Linked DNA regions of Ovis aries. The protein of the gene in region 1 interacts with the protein of each later gene in a pairwise test. Links are inferred from orthologs where the notes say so. Each region holds a gene or a part of one and is shown in the gene's direction. Other genes may lie near its edges.

Region 1 (2,881 bases):
GGGCCTTTGAGAAATATCCAAAGCTCATCCTTGCTGGGGCAACCCAAGAGAGGAGGGGGATCACCAGCTCTATTATCCAGTGATAGAAATTTATACCCCTCCCCCAACCATGGAAATCAGAGGTCACAAGATGGGCTGGGGGCCTTTGAAGATTCCTTACTGAATTCAGTCCAGAGCCCTGCCAGTGGGCTCTGGGCCCTTGTAACCTCTCAGCAATGTCTGTTTATTCCTTCTTTGCTGGAGAGTTTTGCCCAGTGGGTGGGAGTATGGCCTTTGAAGCCAGCTTCCTGGCTGTGTGACCTTGAGCCTGTTCACTCAACCTCTCTGAGCATCCATTGCATCATTTTTATGAAGGAGACTGACGTTAACAGCCCTGACCTCGTTGGATTTCATGATAGGAAAAAGTTTCTTTGAATCCCTGTCTGACCTACAGTCAGGATATTTGCTCTGACTTCTGTTTTTATTATTTTCATTGCTTTCTCCACCCCCACATCTTCAAGGTGGGTTTCATCATCCCCAGTTTCCAGCTAAGGCACCTTTGGGTCCCCTTCCCCCCTCTTCTCTCTGACCCCCACCAAAGTTTGGGGCTCCCTTGCACAATGAGGGGGACATCATCCCAGCCCTGGCCCTCCCCCTCTTCTTCTTCAGTCTGAAACTCGAATGTGACAAGCTGGCCAGCGAGAAGTCAGAAATGCAGCGTCATTACGTGATGGTAAGCCAGCCCGGGGGTCTGGTGGGCAGGGCCAGAGGACCCCAGGTCCCCCTCCAGCACTGGCAGCTGCTGTCTGAACCCTGGCCATCTCCTCTGGGATGTGCGAGAAGTCAGGGTCTGCTCTCCGCTCAGCCAGCCCCTGGCCGGGCTGAGTTAATCTTGTTGGCCTGGCTGCCGGCCCAGGCAGTGGCCGAGGTGCCAAGCCACCGGGTTGCGGCCTGGGCCTGCCAGGTCCCTGGCTGTCCTTGGCAGCGGAGGAGCCAGTGGCTGTGAAAGCCAGGAACTGGGGTTAGAGGGGGGTTGTTGATCCCTCCCCTCCCCACCCCCACTGTCTAAGCATCCCAGGCTTAACCCCTCCTAGTCCAAGCTTGGAGGAGGACTCCTGGAGGGCCCCCTTCCCCAGGCAGGAGGCTGACACTCTTTTGAGGTGGGTGGGTGGAAGGGAGGGAGGGGGTGACACTTCCTTCTTGGGCCTGACATTGGAGACCCTGCCCCTGCACACTGCTGGAATCACTTGCTTCGCTTCATATGCACCAGGTGGTGATTTCTGCATCAAAACCCCTGCCTAAGCCCAGCCCAGAGCCCACTTCCCCCAGGCCATGGGGGAGGCAGAGCTGGACAAGGAACCTCTGGATTCAGAGGGATGGGGCTGGGGCACTCCAGAAGGGTATGCTCCTGTTTGGAGAAAGACTGCATGGAGAAGGAGGCACTGCAGCTGGGGTCCTGATGAATGGATAGGAGCCAGCTGGGCAGAGAAGGGGAGACCACACAAACCTGGCTTTCTCCCCCTATCTTCCCTGGGGGGTGATGGGGAGTCATAGGAAGGTTTAGAGCAGGGGAGGTGCAGGGTCAGATGTGGGGCATGAGGAGGGGGGGCGCTGGCCCCAAAGGCAGACCCAACAGGATTTGTTTATCCTCGATTATTTATACCCAGGAAGACAAACTTCCCTGGAGTCCGGGGCCACCCGCAGACAAGACACATAAAGATAAAAGATTAGGAGCCTTGGAGTGTGTGTGTGCCTGTGTGTGTGTGCGTGTGTGTGTGCGTGCGTGCGTGCGTGTGTGTGTGTGTGTGTGTGTGTGTAGGGGTTGAGGTCATTATTCCAGAAATGGGGCATTCAGGGCCCCACTGGCGTCCCTAGCATCCTCACCAGGCACCTGGGCCCCAGCTCCAGGTGTGGGTGTCTCCCCGCTTCCGACTCCATCTCTCTCGCCTGCCCTCCCCTCCTCCTACCTCTCTCTTTCTCCCCCTCTTTGTCTCTCTCTGTCACTTCCCCTGTGTCTTTTGTCTCTGGAACCTCACATCCTTCACCCACCCCCATTTCTGTCTCCCCCCTACACAGTACTACGAGATGTCCTATGGCTTGAACATCGAGATGCACAAGCAGGTATGCCCCCTTCCCCCCTCCTCCGCCCCCCTGCCCCGCCCAGGCAGGTAGGAACCCGCCACCCCTTGGCTGAGAACCAAGACTGCCTTGGTATCCTGTTACCTCCGGAGCCCCCCCACTTCTGTTCTTTCTCAGGCCTCCCTGGGAGGTTGCTCTCCCTGAGGGGGAGGGCAGAGGCTTTCCCAGGACCTGCCACCCTCACTCCATTGTCTCTCTTTTGTGACAGCCCTGGGGGAGGGGGGTGATATGACCTGCCAACCCACCCTCCAAACCCTATCTCAGGTGTGTTAGAGAATTCTGATGCCAGCTGCCCCGACCTCTTCCTCCCTCCCTCTCACGGAATGCTCACTACCTGTGAGGCATCGGGCATCTTTCCAGGGCCACCCAGACCCCAAGCCACTGGGCCTGGATTTCGCTCTGTCCTGGGCTCTTAGCTACCCTCAGAGACTCAGCCCCCGGGGCCACTTTTGCTGCTGATCGGGTGCCCATGGGCCTGATGAGTCGATATGATCCTGGGACTTGCCGGCCTCCTCTTGGATTAGACAGAACCGCTGGGCTTTCCAGGGCTGGTCTGCACCTGCCCTGGCTGGCTGCTGCCCAGGGCTGAAGTGTCTGTCTGTTCCAGGCTGAAATCGTCAAGAGGCTAAATGGGATATGTGCCCAGGTCCTGCCCTACCTGTCCCAAGAGGTGAGCAGAGCCCCCGGGGGTCTGCTGGGAGGAGATAGACCCTGAACTTCCCTCAGCCCCACCCCTCTGTAGGCATCTGTGTGCCCCAGGGCA
Region 2 (4,104 bases), on another chromosome or scaffold:
AAATTCCATAACTTACTTACTATGTCTCCTTTGGTGGATGTATAGGGTGCTTCCACATTGCGGCAATTATAAATATGCTGCATTAAAAATCCTAGCTTGGGTGGGGAGGGGTAAATTAGGAGTTTGGGATTGACAGAAACGCACTATGATATATAAAGGAGAGAAACAGCAAAGACCTACTGTATGGCGCAGGGAACTCTATTCACGCTCTGGTAATAACCTGTAGTGAAAACTAACGTTAAAGAAATACAGAACTGAATCACTTTGCTGCGTACCAGAAACTAACACGACATTGTAAGTGAACTATACTCCAATAAGAAGTATCCGAGCATAAAGTCTGTGCAAACGTCTGCTTGCAGATAATAATAACCACCACAGGTTTGTAGCATTTGCTGCGAGTCAGGTGCTATTTTAAGTATCAGATGCACAATAATTCATTTGACCCTCACATCGACCTAAAGATGTAAGCTGTATTGTTGGTTCCCATCTTCTGATGAGGTGGCTGAGGCACCTTGAAGGTGAATTGCTGGGACCAAGGAAAGACGGCATTTTTCTTTGATAAATGTTTGCAGTTTGTTCCATCCACACTGTCGCCCGTCTGACACAAGTAGCCTGTTCTGAGGCCATCCCTGGAGTTACCAAGCCTCTTTGATCTTTGCCAACTTGATGGGGTCAAAAATAGTCATGGGAGATCATTACTTGCTGTCATTTGACTGTGACTCCCTTGGGGTCACTAACCATCCTGATTTGTCTGGGAGTTTTCAGATTTGTCACTGAAATCCCATACCCCTAGAAAGCTCTCTATCCCCGGCAGACTGAGACAACCAGTTTCCCTACTTTGCCATGATTCTGTGTGAGGCTGAACATCTTTTTTGAGGTCCTAGGGGTTGGGAAGATCTCCTGGAGAAGGCCACGGCAACCCGCTCTAGTGTTCTTGCCTGGACAATCCCATGGACAGAGGAGCCTGGAGGGCTACAGTCCACGTGTTGCAAAGAGCCGGACACGACTGAGTGACTGACGCTAACACACGGGGTGGGGGAAAGGTCTTGGACAAGGGAGTTGGTCAGAAGATCTTTTAAAGGATAGAGTAGGAATAGGAGCTTACATTTAGAATGCTCCTTACAGCTTTTGATCTTGGCTTTATAGAGTCCCAGTGATGCTTTGACGACCTTAAGCAGAGGGCTGTTTTATAGGTGAGGAAACCCAGGCACAGACTGGGGGGATAAGTTGCCCAAGGTCACATATCTAGGAAGAGACTGAGGCGGTGATGAACTGGGGAGTTTGTGAGCACCCATCCTTTTCTCGCAGGCCCCCTGACCTGGGCCCCAGCATCCCCGAAGATCATGATGGCGTATATGAACCCGGGGCCCCACTATTCCGTCAACGCCTTGGCCCTGAGTGGCCCCAGTGTGGATCTGATGCACCCAGCTGTGTCCTACCCAAGTGAGTACAGTCATCCTCCCTGCCCCCCCACCCCCTGCTGGCCCCCACCTTCTGGAGTCCCTTGCCCTCAGGAAGCGGATGGGTACTTACAAGGATGACATCAGGGCCATACACCAGCCAAACGGGCTCATCTGTAAATGCAAAGCACACCCCACATCTCTTAGGGATGCAGGAGAGCGTGTGGATCTTCATAGAAATTTAGGACAGTGGTTCCCTTTCGGGTGAGGGAGGGAAACCATCTGGAAGGGGGACCCAGAGGAATTCCCATCTGTCAGCGATGCTTTATTTCTTAGCGAAGGAAGCGTTCTATTTTTGATGGTATTATCCTTTTGTTAAGTTGACCATTACGGTCCTGCCTCTTTTATAGGCTGGATATCCCCAAACGGCTGGATATCCCAAATGTCATGTTTCAAGTGAATGTCTTAGTGCAGAAGGAATTTTAGAAAGGGGATGAAAACCAAACTCAGATACCTCCTTACACAGGTAAAGCCAGTTCTCCTCGGGGCGAGGCAAGAGTCCCCCCTAAGGATACGCAAAGGGAGAACCCGTTTCCCAGGGGGACAGAGTGAGGTCTAGAAGTTGAGGGAATCAGCACCCCCTTAGTTTGGGCAGATGAACGCCCAGAAGAGGCTTGTTAGCATCCCATGCCTTCTCAGGACCTTGCGTCAGCAGATGCAGAGAATGGGGTCTCAGGTCACCCAGCAGTCCTGTTTTTCTGTCCTCACCCCAGGCGCCCCGAGAAAGCAACGGCGGGAACGGACCACCTTCACGCGAAGCCAGCTGGAAGAGCTGGAAGCCCTGTTTGCCAAGACTCAGTACCCGGATGTGTATGCCCGTGAGGAGGTGGCTCTGAAGATCAACCTGCCTGAGTCCAGGGTTCAGGTGGGGTGTTCTGGTCCCTGGGATCCAGAGCGGAGGAAAGAGGGAGAGGTCACAGAGGAAGGGCTGAAGTGTCCTGTTAATCTCTCATCCCCGTAATTTCGCTGGCTTCCTATCTGGCATGCCTATCCCCTCTCATTCTACTCCATGAGCACTGCCCCAGTCCTTCCTTCAGCATTCCCACCAAGAACACTCTTTGTTCCCTCTACCCGGAAGATATATTCCCTACACCCTGTTCAAGTCTTTGTTTATCAACCAATCTAGTCACCTTGCCAGTCAATGAGACCTCCACCGCCCTTGGCATTAGAAGCTGCAGCTTTTTCCCGCCATCCCAACTCTGCTACTCCCCCTCACTCTGCTCAATTGGTCCTCCCATAGCATTTATCACTTTCTAAAATTCTATGTGATTTCCTTCCTTACTATTTATTTATATGCTGTCTCTCTCAAGACTTCCCTGGTGGCTCAGATAGTAAAGCGTCTGCCTACAATGCGGGAGACCCAGGTTCAATCCCTGGGTCGGGAAGATCCCTTGGAGAAGGAAATGACCACCCACTCCAGTATTCTTGCCTGGAAAATCCCATGGACGAAAGAGCCTGGTAGGCTACAGTCCATGGGGTTGCAAAGAGTCAGACACGACTGAGCAACTTTCTTTCTTTCATTCTCTCAAGTAGAATGTCAGCTTCATTGGTGTGTCCCCAAAGGAGTAGAAGAATACATGTTTATTAAATAACTGAACGGATGGATGGATGGATGGATGCATGGATGGGTAAATGTATATGTGTGTTTGATTGTATATATGTATGATGCATATATGATTGTATATATGGATGTGTATGTGTTTGTATGATAATGTGTGTACATATGTACATAAGATCGGAAAGATGAAAGTATGTATCATTGTATGTGAGGTGAAAGTGTCAGCCTCTCAATCATGTCGGACTCTGCGATCCCACTGACTGTAGCCCACCAGGCTCCTCTGTCCATGGAATTCTCCAGGCAAGAACACTGGAGTGGGTAGCCATTCCCTTGACCAAAGCCGGGTCTTCTGCATTGCGGGCAGATTCCTTATCATCCGAGCCCCCAGGGAAGCCCATTATTGTGTGTATATACTTACAACTGTGCTTAGGCATGACTGTTATGTGTGTGCTTATGATTGGCTGGTGAATGTGCGTAGGTATGACTGTATGTCTGCATGCATATATGAATGATTCGGTGGACAGATGAATGTATAGGAGTATATTTGTATGTTACATGATAGTAGGTATGTACATATGATTGGCTGGAAGAATGTGGATATATGTGTGTGACCATGTGTGTGCCCGCAAATGTATGCATGTACAATCGTGTGCATTGTATATGATGGTGTATGTGTGGCTGTACAATCGTGTAGATAAATAGTTGGGTGGGTGGTGGATGAATAGAGTGCCCCATGTTGCTGTGTAGCTGCTCAGTCGTGTCTGACTCTCTGTGACCCCATGGACTGTAGCCCACCAGGCTCCTCTGTCCAAGGGATTTCCCAGGCAAGAATGCTGGAGTGGGTTGCCATTTCCTTCTCTAGGGAATCTTCCCGACCCAGGAATTAAACTCACGTTTCCTGCCTTGGCAGGCGGATTCTTCACCCCTGAGCCCCCTGGGAAGCCCCCTGAGTGCCCCACAGCCGATTGCAAAGTAGAGAGTTATGACTCTGGCATGCTTCACCGATAGGCATCACCACTCCTGGGCATCACGAAGGCTCCCCTGGGCCTCCTGCCCACTCTCCCTCCCTCATCTCCCCTCTCGCCC
Region 3 (3,329 bases), on another chromosome or scaffold:
CTCTGTTCCCACACTTCCTGTCCCACCTCCTCTCTCCTGGTTTTCGTTTTGGTGTCACTGTTTCAGTGACAAAGACAAGGCAGCACCATTACAACCAGGTCCTCCTAGTTGGCTGGGGAGGCCTCAGTCCTGCGAGTGACGCAAGCAGACCCCCTGTCTTGATGACCTGTTGTGTCCAGCGGAGAGGTGCCAGGGAACTGTTGTCGCAAGTGTGTCTCCCAGCCACATGTGTGCCTGTGTGTGGGTGACTCTAGCCCAGGAGGCTGGAGAGTAACCAGAAGCCTCTAGTCCTTGGGGCACCCAGGTCCATCTGAGAGAGCACAAGCACAGTGTGTGTGTCCATACGTGTGCATGTGTACGCACATGTGCATACACGTATCTGTGTGCTTGTGTGTAGTCAGTGTGTGTATGCCTGTGTATGGTGCATGTGTGGATGTCTGTGCCTCTGTGTCCATGCATGTGTGTACATACATGTGTGCATGAGTGCACTTATACGTGTGCCTGTGTATATATGTATGCGTGTATAGGTATGGGTGTGCATACACATTTATACACATGTTCAGTGTATACATCTGGGTGTGTGTACATATGTGCATGAGTATATTGCATGTGAATACATGTATATGTGTGTAGGTGTGTGTGCGTGTGATGTGTGTGTGTACATGTTGAGTGTATATGTGTGGATGTGTACATGTGTGTGTGGATGTTGCGTGTGTATACATGTGTTCGGTGTAGATGCGCATAATTGTGTATTATATGCGTGTCTGTGGATGTCTGTGTGGACCTATGTGTCCCTCTCTCCATTCATATCTCCATTGGACGGTGTCCAGGCAGGTAGACTGGATTATTTGGGCTTGTGGGACCCTGGTGGCCATACCTGAGTTATGCGGCCCTCTCTGCAGGTTCTCGCACGGGCAGGTAGTCTCAGTGGATGAGCTGCGCCCCTTCCAGGACCCGGACCTGAGCTCCCTGCAGGCTGGCTCTGCGTGTCTGGCCAAGCGGCAGGATGGTCTGTGGTACCCAGCACGGATCACTGGTGAGGCTGCCCCGGGGCCTCCCTGACAGGCCCTTCCCAGGAAGCCCTCTTCATGTGTCACATGTGTTAGTCCTGCGTGACTCCTCCTCTGGGTGGGTGTTGGGGTCCCACCCCACACATGAGAAGAGCAAGGCCCCCTTGGTTTTGGCCCCACCCTGCTCCCACCTTCCAGAGCGGCTACTTCCGTGTGCTGCCCTGCTGCCTCTGTGCCCCTCCAGATGTAGACAGCGGCTACTACACAGTCAAGTTTGACTCTCTGCTGTTGAAAGAGGCTGTGGTAGAAGGGGACAGCATCCTGCCCCCACTGCGCACAGATCCTGCAGGGTCCTCTGACTCAGACGGCAGCGATGCAGACGACCCCAGCTATGCTCGAGGTATGGCTGCTGCCACCCCCAAGAGGCTCCCGGCTGGCAGGGCCCACACTGTGGTCAGTACAAGGACACACTCCCGGGGAGACGAGGGTGTGTGATGGACCTGGGGCACGTCCAGAGACCCACAGACGCAGAAACCATAGTCCCACGCAAGCCGCGGGAGGGGATGGGATGCACAGGAAGGAACAGCTTCCTGCAGGGCACGGGGACCTGTTAGCTGGATGAAGGATCGGCTGTCAGTGTCTAGCCTCCCCCCAGGGGTGGGGGTGCCCACATGGGGTCTGTTAGCCGCATTGTCCATACTGATGGAGGGGAGGACTGCTCTCCACAAGGGAACAGGGAGTGTGGAAGGGTGCCATCCTGTGACCAGGTCGTGGAAATGGCTAGGCTCTGCCTTCTGCTTGTGCCACATGCCCTGGGCAGGGTGCTGGGGATGCTGGGGGCTGGTTGTGCAGAGCTGAGCTCTTGGGTTAGCCTTGGCTGGAGCCCAGGATCCTCTGCATCTAGCTGGGTTAAGCCACTGCCCTCTGATACCTGCAGTGGTGGAACCTGGTGCTGCCAACCCCGGGACCTGCAGCTCCGCTTTTGCCGGCTGGGAGGTACACACGCGGGGCATTGGCTCCAGACTCCTCGCCAAGATGGGCTATGAGTTTGGCAAGGGTGAGTGCACTTGTGCTGCCTGGGGACAGGAGGGACTCCACATCATGGCCCAGGGGTCCAGTGGCAATGCCAGCCTGGTGTTCCCCTAGGTCTGGGCCGTCGTGCAGACGGCCGGGTGGAGCCCGTCCATGCTGTGGTGCTGCCACGTGGGAAGTCACTAGACCAGTGTGCAGAAATCCTGCAGAAGAGAACCCGGGCTGGCCAGGCTGGTGTCAGCAAGCCCCCAAAGTGCCGGAGCAGAGGGAGTGGACCTGGGGGCCGCCCACCTCCTCGCAGTGTGTTTGACTTCCTGAACGAGAAGCTGAAAGGCGGGGCTCCAGGGGCCCCAGAGGTGGGGGCGGCACCCCCCGGGAGGAGTGGCAAGGAGGTATACCATGCCAGCAGGAGTACCAAACGGGCCCTGAGCCTGCGGCTCCTCCAGACCGAGGAGAAGATTGAGCAGACCCAGCGAGCCATCCGGGGCATCCAGGAGGCCCTTGCCCGCAACGCTGGCCGGTATGTGTGGCCCTGCCCCAGGCACCTCACCCCTGCCCAGCTTCCCCTGAGAGAGTTTGGGGGCGGCGGGCCGGGTCTGAGGAGGGGCTGGAGGCGGACGGCAGTGCTGAATGTGGGCCCCTCTCCAGGCACAGTGTGACAACGACCCAGCTGCAGGAGAAGCTGGCAGGGGCCCAGCGGCAGCTGGGGCAGCTCCGGGCCCAGGAGGCAGGCTTGCAGCGGGAACAGAGGAAGGCCGACACTCACAAGAAGATGACTGAGTTCTAGAGCCCTGCACGTGTTGTGGATGGAACTGAAGGGCCTCGGCTCCTGCTGCCCTCGGGCAGACAGCAGGGATGCCACCAGAAGGGCCAGCCTGCTCTGTGGCTACACCCCACAAAGGGCCTTCTTGCTGGCCTCCAGCACGTGGACACTGCTGAGCAGAAACAGGCTGCAGGGGCCCCTTCCTGATGCTTCCCTGCCCACTGAGTCCACCTGCCAGTGTCCTGGGGCGTCTCGTGAGCAAAGACATTAAAGTGACTTTGTCACAGTGTCTGATTTCATTGGAGGCTTGACTGGCTGTGGGGTCCTTGGGGAGTAGGGGTCTTTGCGCCAGGTCACAGGGCTGGGCTGGAGGGGTCCTGAGTGAGCCTGCTGCCCCTGCCCAAACCCAGAGCCAGGAGCCTCCTTGCTGCTCTCCCAGATGTGGGTCACAGCCTCAGATGCCCCCCCCCCCACAGTGCCTGACACCCACAAATGAGTGGAGCTGGTGCTGCAGTGGTGGGAGG
Region 4 (4,131 bases), on another chromosome or scaffold:
ACTATACAGTCTATGGAATTCTCCAGGCCAGAATACTGGAGTGGGTACCCTTTTCCTTCTGCAGGGGATCTTCCCAACCCAGGGATCAAACCCAGGTCTCCCACATTGCAGATAGATTCTTTACCAACTGAGCCACAAGGGAAGCCCAAGATTACTGGAGTGGGTAAACTATCCCTCCTCCAGCGGATCTTCCCAACCCAGGAATTGAACTGGGGTCTCCTGAATTGCACTAAAAGCATTAATAAATAGCTTTTTAAAAATTACAGTTAGAAAAATGTGCTTGTCTACATTTTTAGTAGCACAGCTATCAGAATTCCTAATGATTTTTAAATGGATATTTAGAACACATTAGGGTAGGTGTTATGTTTAGAGCTTGGGTGTTATTGAGTATTAGCCATGCCTTCCTCCAAGGGATCTTCCCAACCCAGAAATCGAACCCAGGTCTCCTACATTGCAGATTCTTTACCATCTGAGCCATCAGGGAAGTTTGTATATTTAGAGCTTGGATGTTCTTATTGAGGATTATTCAGTTTGAGATTCAACAGCACACAGAGTCTCTGAGAAATAAATGTCCTTAATGAGAACTTGCTTGGGCAGCCTTTCCTTATATTCAGGGAGAAAGTCCAGTCTGGGACATCTGGGTCCCAGAGAGGTACCTTCTCCCTGGCTCACAGCGGGGCCACTCACTCAGTTCCTGGATTCAAATGTTCCCTCAGCCGCTTTTAGCTCTGAGACCTTAAGCAAGTTACGTGACTTTTCTGTGCCTTAGTTTCCTTCTCAGTAATTTGGGGACAATGGTCTCTTCATAGGTTTGCTGGAGGATTAAACCAATTTACGTAAAGTTCTAGAACAGTTTATGACTGGTATGTAGTAAATCCTCAACAGAGTGAACAAAGATTATTATTGACCTTAGAAAGGTCTCACTCTTTCTAAAGAATGGGCTTGAGTAAATATCTTTTGAATACACTTGGCAGCAGAGAGAATCATTTTCAGTGAACAGTTAAAATTATTTGGATATAGTAACTTCTCTTCAAAGCCCAGGCATCCATTGTTCAAGAAGAAAATAAAAAGACAAAGGGGGAAAATTCCTGGCCAAGGGACAAGTTGGGAGGATTGTTTTAAAGCAGTCATTGTGTTCAGGTGGCCTGGCGGGCTACTGTAAACAGGGAGGGAGGGAAGGAGGAAACCAGAACCCATTGTGGGCCCAGAAAATGGATGTCTTTTCAACTAAACAGATTGCTATCAGCCTCTCACAGCCGATTCTTATTCCTTTTTGCCTGGTCATTTCCTTTACCGAGTGTCTGTAAGAACCACCCACTCGAGTGTTTCTCAGGATTATAGGTTTTTAGGTCAAACAGAAACCCCGGAGTGCCTGACACAGCCCTGCACTCGCAGTTACATTATACACCGGCTGGATGACATGGACCCCGCTGCTGGTGTGTGTCTCATGGAGGCTATTGTCCCCGAATCTGTGGAGATTCTCTCACAGTGTGGCCAGCAGCAACCAGGCATACAGGATAAGAGCGTGGCTCTGAAGTCCTGAAGCTTTCCTGTTGGGCTGAAGGCTGAATGTAGGAACCTCCCACCCCTCCAGTTCATTTCAGAAGCCGGACCTGCGGGCCCCATTCGCCAGCATCCTTTGTCATCCTCAGCATCCACGATGGATGAGATACCGGAGGCCCCGGCCATGACTGTCCACCTCCTGGCCAACGCGGGGCAGGGCTTGCTTTTGCAGCAAACCCTGGATCGGCTCCTAGATTGCATTTGCCCAGATATCCGTCTCTTTCTTGTGTCCGAGCGGGCCAGTCCAGTGAAATACTACGACAAGTGCTACTCCAAGCGGTCACGCTTCCCGGGGATGTCTGTTCTGCTTTTCTTGCAGGAGAACCTAGGCGAAGAGAGGCTTTTCCGCGTGCTTGACTCCCTACAGCATTGGCCGTGGCAGTGCTACCCCACGCAGAACGCCCAGGGAAGACCCTGCCCCTACATTCTTGCCAATCAGGAATTCTACAGTCTGGACAGCCAGATGCCCATCTGGGGCGTGAGGCAGGTGCACTGTGGCACCGAGATCCTGAGAGTGACACTCTACTGCAGTTTTGATAACTACGAAGATGCCATCCGGCTCTACGCAATGATCCTGCAGAGAGAAGCCACCTTGCAAAAGAGCAACTTCTGTTTCTTCGTGCTCTACTCCACTGAGACCTTTGCCCTGCAGCTCTCCCTGAAGCAGCTGCCCCTCGGAACATCGGTGGACCCCAAAGAGGCTTCAGTGTTGCAGTTCAAGGTCCAGGAGATTGGCCAATTAGTGCCTCTTCTACCCCATCCCTGCGTCCCCATCAGCCGCACCCGGTGGCAAACACAGGACTATGACGGCAACAAGATTCTGCTTCAGGTATGTCTGTTTGGTCTCTGTGATCTCTAGATGCCCGTGTAGCCGTATGATTTGACAGCCAAAATCATGTTGTGGTTCTCAACCTTCTTTGCATACCAGGATCTCTGGGGAGCTTTCAAATCTTCTCATGTCATGACTTCACTCCAGATCAGTTAGACTGGAATCTTTGGGGGCACCCAGGCTTGGGTATTTTTTGAAAGCTCCTTGGATAATGCTAATATATAACTTATAGCACAGTTGAGAGTCACTGGTTTAATCAAATCCCCTCATCTGACAGGAGAGGAAGTTCGGATGCTGTGAGCTGGTAACTTACACAAGTAGTTTGCAGTAGACTCAGACAACGTCCCATTTTTCAGATTTTCCTGTAACCATGCTCCTTAACTAGACACCAATATTTTGCCCACTCTTTCAGTTCAGAAATTTCGTTAGTTCTTTCCATGTGAACCTAAGAAAGCTGAAGTTATGATTAAAGTTGGGAATGTTAAGTATGTTGGGCTTCCCTAGTGGCTCAGTTATAAAGAATCTGCCTGCCAATGTAGGAACGTGGGTTCGAGCCCTGGGTTGGGAAGATCTCCTGGAGAAGGAAGTGGCAACCCACTCCAGTATTCTTGCCTGGAGAATCCCATGGACAGAAGAGCATGGTGGGCTACAGTCCATGGGATCACAGAGAGTCAGACATGACTTAGTGACTAAAACAATAACAACAACAAATGGTAAACGTGCCATCCTGTTGACCTAACTATTAAGTATCTTGCATCACTCTGAAATTTTATCCCAAATCAAGTTAGATGGTTAGAACCCTTCAAAATTGAGAAAAGCTTGAATTAAAAAATCTTCTGGTAAGCATCCTACTGAAAGCAAGCATAATTACAGTTACCACAAGTCATTTCTTATACAATATTATGTGACAGTTGAACCTTGCCACTTAGTAGCTCCATGATGTTTGAACCTTGTTTCCTTCGTTAGCACAATGAGGGTAGTATAACATCTTCCTAGAGGACAGGTTGTTATTTAACTAAGTGACCTGACATTTATAAAGAGCTTAAGCTAGTGCCCAGAAAGCAATTTTAGCTGTTATTGTTTATATTATGCCCTGCTAAGTTGCTAAGTTGCTTCAGTCGTGTCCAACTCTGTGCGACCCCATAGACGGCAGCCCACCAAGCTCTGCCGTCCCTGGGATTCTCCAAGCAAGAACACTGGAGTGGGTTGCCATTTCCTTCTCCAATGCATGAAAGGGAAAAGTGAAAGTGAAGTCACTCAGTCGCGTCGGACTCTTTGCAACCCCATGGACTGCAGCCTACCAGGCTCCTCCATCCATGGGATTTTCCAGGCAAGACGACTGGAGTGGGGTGCCATTGCCTTCTCTGATACTATGCCCTAGACTAAGTACTTCACTTTGATTATTTTAGTTAGTCCTTCTTACAACCTAGGAAGTTTTACAAAAGGCAAAACCAAGGAGTAGAGGTACCAGTTACTTGCTCAAGACACAAGATTAAGTGTTTACCTGGCTCTGAAACCAGGCAAGTTAACCACCACAGTCCAGTACTCTGTAAGTGTGTGTGGGCAGGGAGGTGTACATGATATTCACAGCAAAGTTCCTGTCCTTGAGAAATGGTCAGGAAGTGCTTTAAGACCTACTGGATAAGGTAAAAGCAGGCTAAAAGATGAATTATCTTTCCCTTTGATTAATTTTATTCTCATCAGCTTTGAGTTATTAATAAAATATGAGTCATACTGAT
Region 5 (4,156 bases), about 12 Mb from region 1:
CTCCAGCAAGGAATCAGAATCGGTGCCATCGATGTCAGACGGGAGTGAGATTGCAGCTTGCCCTCCATCTCCTATTGCTGATAGTCCTCCAGCTTCACCACATCTCACCTCCTCTCCCTCCTCCAGTCGGCTACTCTTCCTGACTGTTCATTTGATGCCAGCCCCTGTATGCCAGCTATTGTACTGTACTACTGTACTTTTCAAGGTACTGTGCTGTAGGACTTGAAATGTTGTATCTTGTGTGTTTGCTTTTTATGTGCAATTTGTGTGAAAAGTATTATTACTGTATGAATAGTACAAAAAGCCAATTGTATTAGTTGAGTGCTTCGACGAACTTTGTTGGACTTAATGAATGAATTGGACTTAAGAACGTGCTCTTGGAATGAAATTCATTCAATATGTAGGGGAAATTACTGAATTTACCCCTTGAGAATACATGGTGCACATTAACATATTAAAGGGTCTGACAAGTCCGGCAATAAAGAACTATGGTGTTAATTTAACCCAAACTTAGACATTAGATTGCTTTTCTCAAGCCATAACATGCTCATCATCATCTCCAATGCACACCTCGTCTAGCTTGTTCACTATCATGGGTCTAGAACTGGCTTAAATTCAATGGTTACAAATATTTTTTTGTTGGTTGGGGAAGTTGAGCGAATGATCTCATTAGATCTTCAGAGCAACTCTATGTTATTGTTGTTTTGTCACTAAATCTTGTCCGAATCTTTGCGACCCCATGGGTTGTAGCCCACCAGACTCCTCTGTTCATGGGATTTCCCAGACAAGAATACTGGATTGGGTTGCCACTTCCATCTCCAGGGGATCTTTCCGACCCAGGGATTGAAACCAAGTCTCCTGCTTTGGCAGGCAGATTCTTTACTACTCTATGCGGTAGGTACTAATATAATTTCCATCTTACAAACAAGGCTCAGAGAGGCCAGGTGACCCGCCTAAGACCACACAGTTAGTGGGTAAAGAGCTGGAATTTGGCCTGAAGTGTGCTGGCAGCCTCTCCCCCACCCTGCCTGTTTCTCAAAGATGCCCCACACCCCCAGTCTCACTGGTGATGGCAAGTGTGGGCTCCCCACTGAGGGCTGCCCTGGGACCTCCCTAAGCCCTTCTCCTTGCCCTGATGGCTGTGGACATATACTCAGGCCGTTGCCCAGAGAGCTTGGCTGTAACTTGAGTCTCACCCAGGCTGGGGGTGATGAGGAGGGTGGGCAGGTGACAGCCAGGGCAGGGAGATTTGCCCAGACACTGGTGAACGGCGGCCTGGCAACCAGGGTGGCCCTGAGGGGATCGGGGCGGGGGGCTTCGGGAGCCTGTTCAAGAGTCCAGGCAGAGGTCTCCACTATGGGCAACAAGCAAACAGTCTTCACTCACGAGCAACTGGAAGCTTATCAGGTAGGGATGATGGACCAAGCCATCGGTGGGTTTGGCAGCCTGGTTGTTTTCTTGGCTGAAGAAATGGGGACAGCATCCCTTCATCCTGGTGGGGTGGGGGTGCAGTCAGCAAGAGGTCTTGGGGTGGCTCTGTGTGTGGATTCAGGCAGCAATGGGTTGTGGGAGAGGAAGGAGGCGCCCCCCCCCCCCCCCCCCCGCCAGGCATCAGGCAGGGTCTGGGTTAAGCCAACATCTCTCTCCACAGGACTGCACCTTCTTCACGAGAAAGGAAATCATGAGGTCAGTCTGAGGAGGAAGGGAAGAAGAGCTGGGCACTTTATATGCTTTGCAGTTAATGGGGGAATCGTGTGCTCAGTTGGTGGATGCATGCAGAGATGGGAAGGCTGCTGAGAAGTCCCATCTGGTCCTATTGCCACATCTCTAGGCTGACAGGCTTGGGCTTTCTCCGAAAGGTGGCAGGGAGCCATAGAGAGTGTGTGAGCAGGGGCGATGTGGATCAAAACTTCCCCCTGAGGCCCAGTGAGAACAGGCTGGGACCCCAGGGGGCAGAGTCTAGAGCCAGCTCTGGGCAATGGGGTTGACATCAAGGTTAGAGGGTGAAGAGGTGGCCCCAGGCTGCTGCAGGTTCCTGGTGTGAGTGAGACAGGCATGGAGGGGTTATCCTACAGCATCACTCAGCCCATGGAACCATTATCCAGATTCCGGACCCATGAACTTTGACCTGTGAAACCCAAGTTGGCTGGGGTTTGACTGCAGAGTGATCAGGGCCAAGGTCCCAATTGTGTGGGTGCAGGACATCCATTATTGATGGGCAGAATTTCCACTAGTAAGCCCCACCGTCTTGGCGAGGACAGTTCACAGGGTCACCCTGACCATCATGATCAGATTACTGATGGGGAAACTGAGGCTCACACAGGGGAGGCTGACCTCAGAGCCCTGGGTAGATGGGTAGGGCCCCAAAGAGTTTGAGGCTAACATTTTGTGCATCTCAAGCTTCTTGCTTCTCACACAGACCTACTGAGCAGAAAGGGGGAAAAGGGGAAGGGGGACTTACTCGAGGCCACATAGAAACCCAAACCCAGACTATTCTCTGAAGGGACCCAGCGGTGAAGTTCCAGATACCCCCCTCTTCCAGTTCCTAGCCATCATATGGCTTCTATCACCTTCTGAGGCATCCCTAACAACTTCAGGATCTCTGGCTCATCAAGGATAGTCTGTACAAGGTGACTGCTCAGCATGTTCCAGTGACGGTACAGTATCACCAGGCAAGGGCATTGGAGTAGACACTTGACCCCACCATCTAGGCAGTGTGTATGGCCTTTGCTGTTTTGCAAAATGCCTTTCATTTACCCCTTGGAGAAACCTGAATATTAGACTTTGTCTCTGGCGCCTTGAGGGAACTACAACCCCCATTATGGAGGCAGAGAGGGAAAGTGTGAGGATGAGGGTCTTGCCAACAGTGTGATGATGTCCAGCAAATCGTAGATTCACTCAGAGTCTCTGAATGCTCAGTGTGAGATGACCTTGCCTTAAGCACTCTCTTTTCTGTCAACCCCATCTGCCTGGTGAGCTCTTATTTGTGCTTCAAAGCCCAGCACCTAGCACCCATGCCCCCTCCTCCAGGAAGTCCTTCCTTCTCCTTGGCTTACTTTCCCCACTCCAGTTTCCCCTAGCTTTGTTTGTTTGTTTGTTTGTTTTAACATTTTAAAAGCAATGAATTGATTTTCTGGCTGCTCTGGGTCTTGGTTGCTGTGGAGGTTCATCCAGTTTTGGTGAGCAGGGGCTACTCTCTAGTTGTGATATGTGCGCTTCTCACTGCGGTGGCTTCTCTTGGGAGCATGGGTTCACAGGTGCGTGGGCTTCAGTGGCTGTGGTGTATGAGCTCAGTAGTTGCCTCATGGCATGTGGGATCTTCCCAGACCAGGGACCAAACCTGTGTCTCCCACACTGGCAGGTGGATTCTTAATCACTGGACCTCCAGGGAAGTCCCTGGGGTCCTGTCTTTACCTTGGCTTTGTCCCTAGGGAGATAAAGGTGTCCCTGTGTGTGAGGGCTGGGCCCAGGGCTGAAGGCTCAGCATCCTTCATTGTAGAGTGAGCATCTGTGAAAGGGAGAGAGTAGAGACAAGCCCACCCTCACTCATCTCCCAGACCTTCTCATTGTTTCCCTCCCCATACCAGGCTCTTCTATCGCTACCAGGACCTGGCCCCTCAGCTTGTCCCTCTCGACTATACTAGCTGCCCTGATGTGAAGGTGCCCTATGAGCTCATTGGCAGCATGCCTGAGCTGAAGGTATGCCCAGGGCCCTGGGGCAGGCATGGGAAAAAATAGAAGGGATGTCCCTTGTTGTATTTCTATGAGGTGACTATTGCAATTATTTCTATTTTACAGGTGAAGAAACTGAATTTCAGATAGGTTGAGACACTTATTTATGATCACACAGCTAGGACATGAGAGAGACAATTCAAACCCTGGGTTGTGGGAAAGATGAGATGAGATAATGCAGGTAAAGGGCTTAGCACAGGGCCTGTGACATGGCAAGTACTTAGGAACATTGCGCTGAGTACGTGCTGAGTCTCTTCAGGCATGTCCATCTCTTTACAACCCTATGGACTGTAAGCCCGCCAGGCTCTTCTGTACATGGGGATTTTCCAGGCAAGAATATTAGAAGTGGGTTGCTGTGTCCTCCTCCAAGGGATCTTCCCAACCCAGGGATTAAACCTGCGTCTCTTATGTCTCCAGCACCGGC
Region 6 (3,500 bases), on another chromosome or scaffold:
TTCCTTTGTAGGAAATAAAGCAGTCTGGAGGGTGGTGCTCTACGATTGTGTAAATATCCTGTTTCCCAACAGTTCTGCACTTGGTGATTTTAGCAACCGTTGGTGTCCCTCATCCAAGATAATTATTACTCTGGTGAATACAAAGTGGTGATTTTTCTAATTGTCTAATTTTTCTTGTATCAGTTGGTATTCTTCTGTGAAGAAAAACCTTCCTTTCTCGTCCGCCCTTTTAAATCAGTATCAGTGTGAACTTGTGGATTTTTAAAATATAAACTTAAGATTTAATGTGTGTTTATAATCCATTTCTAACATTAATCATTTCGATGTTATGTTCTGCCGTGCCCCTATCAGAAAAGCTCTGGAGAAATAGCATCTGGGTTGAGTGAATGAAGTAATGGTAGGAAAGTGATGAATAAATCTGTTTACCGAGAGTTTCTGTCAATCTACTGTACTTTTCTTTTTATTTCTCTCTAGGTCTCATGGACTAATTGGCTCTCATTCAGCCGGAACCTAACAGATAAGTCATCCTTCTGTGTGTGAAGACAATGCTCAGTTTTAAGACTGCTCTGAAAATGATGAAAGCAGGATCGCCCCAGTGACGCTGTCAGGGGGCAACAAGCAGCTTGAGAATTTCCTCTTCTCCAGGTAGCAGCTTGAAGGAGACCCTTTTCCATTAAGGAGGACTGCATGGCAGGCAGCCCCCACTGACGGCTGGAAAATGAGCGTTCCCGTGGCGCCTAAGAAGTCATGTTACAGTGAATTGCGGGACAGCAGAAATGGAGCAAAAAATAATAACGACCGAGTCCTGAGTTTGGGAGATGCCAATGCCAACCCCATTGTGTTGGAGGTTGGCTCCTCTTCTGACAAGCCTGCCACGTGTGCTGTGCCAGAGGAAGTTGGAAATGCAAATTCGAGGGGACCAGAGAGTAGTCCCCGTGTCCCGAAGGAGTTTCACCCACTTCAGGGCTTTGCAAAGGCATCTCAGGCTGGCCCCACCGGCCTGAAGGATTTTAAATTCTCTCCGATGGCTCAGAGAGAACGGAATGAAGAGTCTGAGCTGGAGAGAGGCGCAGACCACCTGCAGGTCCTTCGTGGTCTCCAGGGACCAGGTGTGCCGAGTCGGAGGACTGTCATGGGCGAGTCCAGCCTAGAGGTTCCAGCTAAGCGGGAGGCTGATGTCCCCTGGCCTGTCGCCAAGGATAAGTTGGCCAAGACCCTTGACAACGAGGAACTGAGGAGGCATCCTTTGGAAAGATGCAGCAGTTCTGCTGCAGCAGTGGACGTGCTCACAAAGGAGTGGGCTGGGGGCCTGGCCTGGCCGCTTCCACAACCCACAGGGCTGGGGTCCCCAGAAGCCCCGCATCCGGTGCCTGGCGGTGGCGAGGGGCCGCCGAAGATGGGGACAGCCCCTTCTCCAGGGCTGCCTTGTCCTCCGGCGGACGGGACCTCAGAGGGAAAGGGCGCACGTCATCCTAAACCATCTACCTCAGTAACCATGGAGACCGTCCCCTTAGAGACCCATCCAGAGAGGGGACGGGTACCCAAGCTCAGCGCCCAGAGCACAGCACCTTCTGCCCATCCAGAGGGTGCTCTTGATTGCTCTCCAGCCTCAAAGGATGTCCTGAGGAGGCCAGAAGCACAAGTGGGTCCAGGAAAAGTGGAGCCCAAGACAGAGCTGAAACCTGTCCAGCCCAGGGCTGTGCAGGAGCTCAAGTCCACCCAGGTGGGCGAGCTGGGGTGTCGTCAGGGGCATGGCATGTCACCTCTTGGGAGAAAGGAGCCAGCTGGGGAGGCGCAGCCAGGAGCCTCAGCTGCTGGGTTAAGCAGCCTGGCACACAGCGTTCCCCACCCCCTGGACACAATAAGAGACAGAGATGAGCCAGAGAAGGGAGGTGAGGACGGGTCTCTCCGAACCACCCTCAAATCGAGCCCCGGTTCCTCACAAGCTGCGGATCAGCAACCCATGGCCATAAGTTTGCCAGGTGCAGCTCGGAAGCTGGGTGAAACAGTGCCCAACGGCGTGTCAGCAGGGGATGGTCATGTAGCTTTTGTTCCTGGAGATTCAACTGACAGCAAGCCCTCTGTTGCCAGTGACGAGAGAGGCGTCCTGGGAGGTGGGAACAGTGTCAACACTATGGTTTTTGACTCAGATTCCTCTGTTGGAGAGAGCAAAACCGGGGTCCCTGAGCCCCCCAACCCTCCAAGCAGCCGCTCAGAAGCCGAGGAAGGCCAAGAGGTCTCTCTATCTCTTGCAGAGACCAGGAACCATCTAGAACCTGCAGTAAAGACTGAAAGCACCTCCCCAGTGAGGGCAGATGTCCTTCTTGGTGTCCCTGCGTCCCTCCACCCAGAGACAACTGTGAATGTGGCCCGCCAGCCCCCGCCACCCAGCAGCCGCTTTCAGGACTTGGGCACATCAAGTGTGGATGTAGGGTCCCCCCCGGCTGCCCTGCCTCCCGCTGACAGCACCGGGTTGTCACACACCTCCCCAAAAGTGCCTGCCAAGAACGCCTGCCCTGGGGGCCTTCCCCGTCCTGAGGACACACCCGCCTCACTGGAGGGGACAGTGGGCCCCCTGGTTGAGAAGAGGGAAGAGCGGGCGGAACCCAGGCCCGTCGTGATGCCCAAGCCCAAGCACGTGAGGCCCAAGATCATCACCTACATCCGGAGGAGCCCGCAGGCTCTCGGCCAGGTGGACGCGTCGCTGGTTCCTGTGGGGCTCCCTTATGCCCCGCCTGCGTGCAGCGTGGCTCTCCCCAAAGAGGACAAGGCGGCGGGTGCCGACCTGAAGCCGGCTGCCGGCCTCTACGAGAAGTTCAAGCCAGACCTCCAGAGGCCCCGGGTGTTTAGCTCCGGACTAGTGGTGTCGGGGATCAAGCCCCCAGGACATCCCTTCAGTCCAATGAGTGAGAAGTTTTTGCAGGAGGTAAGAGAATGTCATTGTGAGACAGTCTGTGAGTTGAACATCCTGAAGTTCGTGAGGTGTTTTCAATGAATCGTGAAAGCAGAGTGTCCTCTTTTAGCAAATTATAGATGATGATGGACGTATTTGTGTAGAAAGGCGTGTTTTGAACTAGAGCAGATTGCAGGCAAATGAACGGTTTCCTCTGGAAGAGACTGATGACCAGAATGAGGTGGATCTAACATCTAAAGGGATTCTTTTAAATTCCACCTGACATAATACATAAAAGTTGGAAAAGCGTTTAAATTGGCTTCCACATTTAAATTGTTCTTGTTGTTGTTCAGTCACTCAGTCGTGTCCGACTCTTTGCAACCCCATGGCCTGCAGCACAGCAGGCTTCCCTGTCCATCACCATCTCCTGGAGCTTGCTCAAACTCATGCTCATTGAGTCAGCAATGGCACCCAACCATCTCATCCTCTGTTATCCCCTTCTCCTCCTGCCTTCAATCCTTCCCAGCATCATCAGGGTCTTTTCCAATGAGTCGGCTCTTCGCATCAGATGGCCAAAGTGTTAGAGTTTTAGCTTCACCATCAGTCC
Region 7 (4,076 bases), on another chromosome or scaffold:
AACATCAAAGTGTTAAATAAAGGCAGCATCAGCATCTGATTTTTGCAGCAGGTTCCGGTACTGCTCAGCATGGCCTGGTTAGAGATACTGCCTTTGTCTGAAGTTTTAACAATTTTGTTCATCTTGGGTTTTGGACATTAATTTTTTTTAATCTTTTTTTTCTTTGGTTGCACTATGAAGTATGAGAGATCTTAGTTCCCTGACCAGGATCAAACCTGTGCCCCTGCATTGGGAACACAGTCTTAACCACTGGACCGCCGGGGAAGTACCATTTGGGCATTAATTTTGATTTTTTTTTTTCAATTGCATCAAAATGCTCTTTTTCTTGATCTCTGAGTGTTTTGGGGCTTCCCCTTAAATGCTGTACACAAGGTGAGGACCTTCTTGCTTCACCCTGGTCCCAGCGGTAGTGGGGCAAAACATATCCCTGGTCCCCCTCACAGGGCAGGGCTGGCAGGAAAGTCTCCAGGTAAGAGAGGTGACAATCGCATGAAAAATGAAATAACAGCTAATAGGCATTGAGTCTATAGGCCAAGCACTGCCCTCACTTCCTCCCGACTTTCCTTTCCTGAGCGCCCTAACTGTGCTGAGTGCCCTCCCAGACGTGGGATAGAACAGACGTAGAGATGCTTCCCGCACCATACAGAATCCACATCCCGGTTTGGGGAGAGACGATAATATAACAAAATCCATAAGGATCAGCAGAACGTGAGGTATGCAATGCTCCTGGCTAAAGACGGAGAGGTGGGGGGCTGGAATGAAGAAAAGGAGCTCTGAGCCTTGTTTCAGGCACAGTCACCGAAACAGCACGGTCACCCAGGAAGGAGAGGTGCCGCATGGCCCCCCTCGCAGACGGGGGAACTGAGGCAGCCCACCCAGGAGCGGGCAGGGCGGGGCTCCCAGCCTGGGGCCGAGCCAGGAGGGGGCGTGGGGTGGAGAACCGCGGAGACCCCCAGCAGAACCGGGACTTTCTCCACTCAAAGCGACCGCCTTGATGGTACGTTGGGCGGGACTGTCTCCGCCTCCCTAAAAGGCGAAAGGCCAGGTTGGCTCAGCCCGGCCGGTGTCCGCCCCGCCTCCTCGCCATGGACCACCCCGGGGTGGGCCCTCTAAGGCCGTCCCCCGGGGCTGGCAACGTGACCGCTCGCCCTCAAGTGTGCAAGTTCATTCATCCAGGGGCCCCTGCTGACTCACGCTTATGAAAGTGATTTTCCTGGCCCCGCCCTCCGCCCGCCTCTTCCCAGCCCCTGAAATACCCGGGCTTCCCGTCTCTCGCACCCTCTTGAATCCCTACGGGGTAACCCGGCTCCCTGACCCAGGTTCTCCGAGAGGCCTGACCGCGCTCCCCAGTGTCCTCGACCCCGGCCGGTCAGGTGAGTGACCCGGGCGAGGCTTGGGGGAGGTGGGAGAAGGTAGCCCGACCCGGGCAGGGCCCTGGGGCCAGGCAAGGGGACCCCAGGCGGTCCTGAGGGCGGACCACCCCGGCTCCCCATGACCAGCATGACCCCCCCCCAACCCCCGAGATCCTCCTCCCCCCCTCCTGGCCATGCCCACCTCCAGGTGCCTGGCACCCTCGCTGACAGCTGCCCTGCCGGCTGGCTTGCTGGGAGTTCACCTCAGCCCACGTGATGCTACTCCAGGCAGGAAAGAGAGGTGTGGCCAGCCCAGGCCGGCTGACCAGGTCCCGCGGGCAGGCTGGGTGCTGCCCTCCGTCTCCGCCTCTCCTGTTCTCACGGACCGAGCCCCCAGGGTCGAGGGGGACCTGGCTTCTCACAGGAGGGTTGGGGGTACCGAGAATGAGGAGTGGAGTTTCAGAGGGTCTGGAGAGCTCTTGGGGCTCCAGATGAGGGAGGCTCTGGGGGCACTGGTATCAGGGGGTGGGTGCAGAGGCCAAGGGCTCACTCTGGTGACTGGCAGGTGGCACTTGGGCTGGCGGAGCACCTCCCCATCCTCCTCTGCCCCGGCCTCACGGCACTTTCTTGGGGGCACTGTTGTGTCATCTTCCTCAGAGGGGACTCCGACAGGTGTCACAGGGCAGGGTTTGGGGTGTGGTCTCTGACATTCCTGGAAAAGACACCACCCTCCTGACCCCAGTTTTTCCCTTTGGGCAATAGGGATAACAGAAAAAAAAAAAATCCACGGGGTGGGGTAGGAGGGTTGTCATTAAAGTGAAATGAGCAAAAGTACCGCAGGTGCTCAGTAAATGTAGCCATACAGGTGTCCTAAGCCTTAGAGCAGTGTAATCTTCAATAACCCTAGAAATTGCAATGCTCCAAACTCTACGCTCCACACCCAGGAAGGTGCAATTATTCCCATTTCTTTTACGCTGCTTTTCTCCTGTGAACTTGAAGGCCTTTTTAATGTCAACATTTGCCGTCTTCAACCAGAGGGACGTTGGAAACTGACCTTCCCAGCTCCCCAAAACTAAACAGTGTGTGAGAAATAGGAAGTTACACTTTCAAATGGAAAGTTGGCAGCGTGCACTCTTCCGAGGAGGTTTTGAGAGCTCCAAGTCTCGGGACTTGGGCCCTGTGTATTGCGGTGCAGGAAGCAACCGCTCAGGTCAGCCTCTGGGTGGTGACCTCATGCGTGTGGCATCCAGAAGTTTCTGGCATGAGCACTGGACGTGGGGTCCAAAAGCCCTGGTGGTGAATGGGGCCTTCTCCCTCCTGGGAGCGTGAAGACAGGCAGCCTGCAGTGCCTCCTTGTCTATAAACGGGGGCTCCTGCAAACACCCCTCTTACTGGCGCTGGGAGGATTCACAGGGACAGGGCAGAAAATGACTTGTCCTGGGGTGGGCGCTCTGTGGGTACCCCATGTGGCAGGCTGTGGGGTGTCTAGGGACCAAACTCTTGATTCATTATCCACTGGCTCTCTGACATCGGGGGCGTGGCCTCACTGCCCTGAGCCTCAGTTTGCTCGTCTGTAGAGTGCTTTCCCTGAGGATGAAAGGCGCCGATGCGAAAGGATGTCGTGACAAGGATGTCACCTGTTCCTGGGGACAGTGAGGACATCAGCGTGGAGCCCTGGGCTTGTGTGAAGGGAGTGTTCTAGGAACCACAGCCCCTGCCCCAGGGCCACCGGCACACCCAGCGGCTGGCCAGTGAGACGCTGTCCCCCCCCCCCCCAGGTGGAGCACTGGGACAGAGCTGCACTCAGCCTGGAGGGGCCTCCATCACACGCTGTCACACCCCGTGACACCCTGTCACACTGCCTCGGGGGGCACGAGAAGGCCCTCGCACAGAGCAGCCCAGGCTCAAAACCAGTTGAGCCGGCACCCCTTGTGGCAAATTCCCCGCAAGCCATCCAGGACGGTGAGACACTTGCTGGGCCTCAGCTTCCCCATCTGTAATATGGGTGCGGTCGTGAGAGTACTTCTAACAACCCGGTTAAATGTGGGTTAAGTTGGTGAATGTGCGTCAAGTGTTCAGGGCATGCTCAGCACCCGGCTCAGCCCGCAGAAGTTCAGAAATGTTGGTTGTTCTATGTGGCTGTGGTGTCACCCCAGAGCGGACAGCGGGGTCCCTGCAGGGAACCAGGAGTGGAGTGGGGCAAGGGGTCCCTGATGGGGGATACAGCTCATGGCCCAGGCCCCACTGAGGCGGTTCTCTGGAGACCAGAGGGCACACCCCCCTGTGACACTGCTGCCTCCAAGCCCCCCCCGCTCAACTGCCAGCCGGAGATGACGGCGCCCGCCTCTCCAGGTGCCTGCGGGGCACAGATGCTGTGGCTTAGCTGCAAGCTCCTCTCCTTGCAAACTGTAAAGGCTGTGGGCGGGCCCGTTGTCAGTGCCGTGGCAGCGACACCCAGGTCCTCTGGCCAGACCCCCCGGCTGTCCCCTCCCCGCCCGGTGGGGGACACTGGTGTTGCTGTCACTCTTGGCACATCAGAGGTCCCACGCTGGCCTCGGTCGTGCTCCCTCAGCCCGTTCAAGATTTGCAAAAAACGTGAATCAGTTGCATACTCTTCCAAATCAGGGAATTCACATAAAAATCCGGATTTAAGCTTTTTCCTGGAAGAATTCTGAAGGCGGGTGATGCCAGGCTCCCATCCCTGGCTGCTCGGGGCGGTCTGGG

Evidence for each region.
Region 2: the proteins of TLE5 (region 1) and CRX interact in binary tests that used the Homo sapiens proteins (3 or more experiments, as listed by UniProt). The two-hybrid records come from large-scale screens. The link is inferred for Ovis aries from reciprocal best matches to the Homo sapiens genes TLE5 and CRX.
Region 3: the proteins of TLE5 (region 1) and ZGPAT interact in binary tests that used the Homo sapiens proteins (3 or more experiments, as listed by UniProt). The two-hybrid records come from large-scale screens. The link is inferred for Ovis aries from reciprocal best matches to the Homo sapiens genes TLE5 and ZGPAT.
Region 4: the proteins of TLE5 (region 1) and FAM124B interact in binary tests that used the Homo sapiens proteins (3 or more experiments, as listed by UniProt). The two-hybrid records come from large-scale screens. The link is inferred for Ovis aries from reciprocal best matches to the Homo sapiens genes TLE5 and FAM124B.
Region 5: the proteins of TLE5 (region 1) and CIB3 interact in binary tests that used the Homo sapiens proteins (3 or more experiments, as listed by UniProt). The two-hybrid records come from large-scale screens. The link is inferred for Ovis aries from reciprocal best matches to the Homo sapiens genes TLE5 and CIB3.
Region 6: the proteins of TLE5 (region 1) and MTUS2 interact in binary tests that used the Homo sapiens proteins (3 or more experiments, as listed by UniProt). The two-hybrid records come from large-scale screens. The link is inferred for Ovis aries from reciprocal best matches to the Homo sapiens genes TLE5 and MTUS2.
Region 7: the proteins of TLE5 (region 1) and OSGIN1 interact in binary tests that used the Homo sapiens proteins (3 or more experiments, as listed by UniProt). The two-hybrid records come from large-scale screens. The link is inferred for Ovis aries from reciprocal best matches to the Homo sapiens genes TLE5 and OSGIN1.

Annotation. Positions count from the first base shown.
Region 1 is NC_056058.1:18,528,392-18,531,272, forward strand, and holds part of TLE5 (TLE family member 5), read left to right. Parts: intron 1-648; coding exon 649-712; intron 713-2,055; coding exon 2,056-2,100; intron 2,101-2,725; coding exon 2,726-2,788; intron 2,789-2,881. UniProt on the Homo sapiens protein: Transcriptional corepressor. Acts as a dominant repressor towards other family members. Inhibits NF-kappa-B-regulated gene expression. May be required for the initiation and maintenance of the differentiated state.
Region 2 is NC_056067.1:54,472,884-54,476,987, forward strand, and holds the start of CRX (cone-rod homeobox protein), read left to right. Parts: upstream 1-1,304; 5' UTR 1,305-1,343; coding exon 1,344-1,443; intron 1,444-2,173; coding exon 2,174-2,325; intron 2,326-4,104. UniProt on the Homo sapiens protein: Transcription factor that binds and transactivates the sequence 5'-TAATC[CA]-3' which is found upstream of several photoreceptor-specific genes, including the opsin genes.
Region 3 is NC_056066.1:53,738,011-53,741,339, reverse strand, and holds the end of ZGPAT (zinc finger CCCH-type with G patch domain-containing protein), read left to right. Parts: intron 1-902; coding exon 903-1,036; intron 1,037-1,254; coding exon 1,255-1,410; intron 1,411-1,947; coding exon 1,948-2,067; intron 2,068-2,156; coding exon 2,157-2,562; intron 2,563-2,690; coding exon 2,691-2,829; downstream 2,830-3,329. UniProt on the Homo sapiens protein: Transcription repressor that specifically binds the 5'-GGAG[GA]A[GA]A-3' consensus sequence. Represses transcription by recruiting the chromatin multiprotein complex NuRD to target promoters.
Region 4 is NC_056055.1:226,558,936-226,563,066, reverse strand, and holds the start of FAM124B (protein FAM124B), read left to right. Parts: upstream 1-1,331; 5' UTR 1,332-1,660; coding exon 1,661-2,392; intron 2,393-4,131.
Region 5 is NC_056058.1:6,625,310-6,629,465, forward strand, and holds the start of CIB3 (calcium and integrin-binding family member 3), read left to right. Parts: upstream 1-1,356; coding exon 1,357-1,407; intron 1,408-1,651; coding exon 1,652-1,686; intron 1,687-3,587; coding exon 3,588-3,699; intron 3,700-4,156. UniProt on the Homo sapiens protein: Acts a an auxiliary subunit of the sensory mechanoelectrical transduction (MET) channel in hair cells. Plays a role in regulating hair cell MET channel localization and function.
Region 6 is NC_056063.1:31,551,565-31,555,064, reverse strand, and holds part of MTUS2 (microtubule-associated tumor suppressor candidate 2), read left to right. Parts: intron 1-474; 5' UTR 475-718; coding exon 719-2,926; intron 2,927-3,500. UniProt on the Homo sapiens protein: Binds microtubules. Together with MAPRE1 may target the microtubule depolymerase KIF2C to the plus-end of microtubules. May regulate the dynamics of microtubules at their growing distal tip.
Region 7 is NC_056067.1:9,817,996-9,822,071, forward strand, and holds the start of OSGIN1 (oxidative stress-induced growth inhibitor 1), read left to right. Parts: upstream 1-1,276; 5' UTR 1,277-1,373; intron 1,374-1,554; exon of another isoform or gene 1,555-1,613; intron 1,614-3,130; 5' UTR 3,131-3,314; intron 3,315-4,076. UniProt on the Homo sapiens protein: Monooxygenase catalytic activity. Involved in regulation of cytokinesis; promotes RHOA activity, probably acting locally at the midbody in late cytokinesis.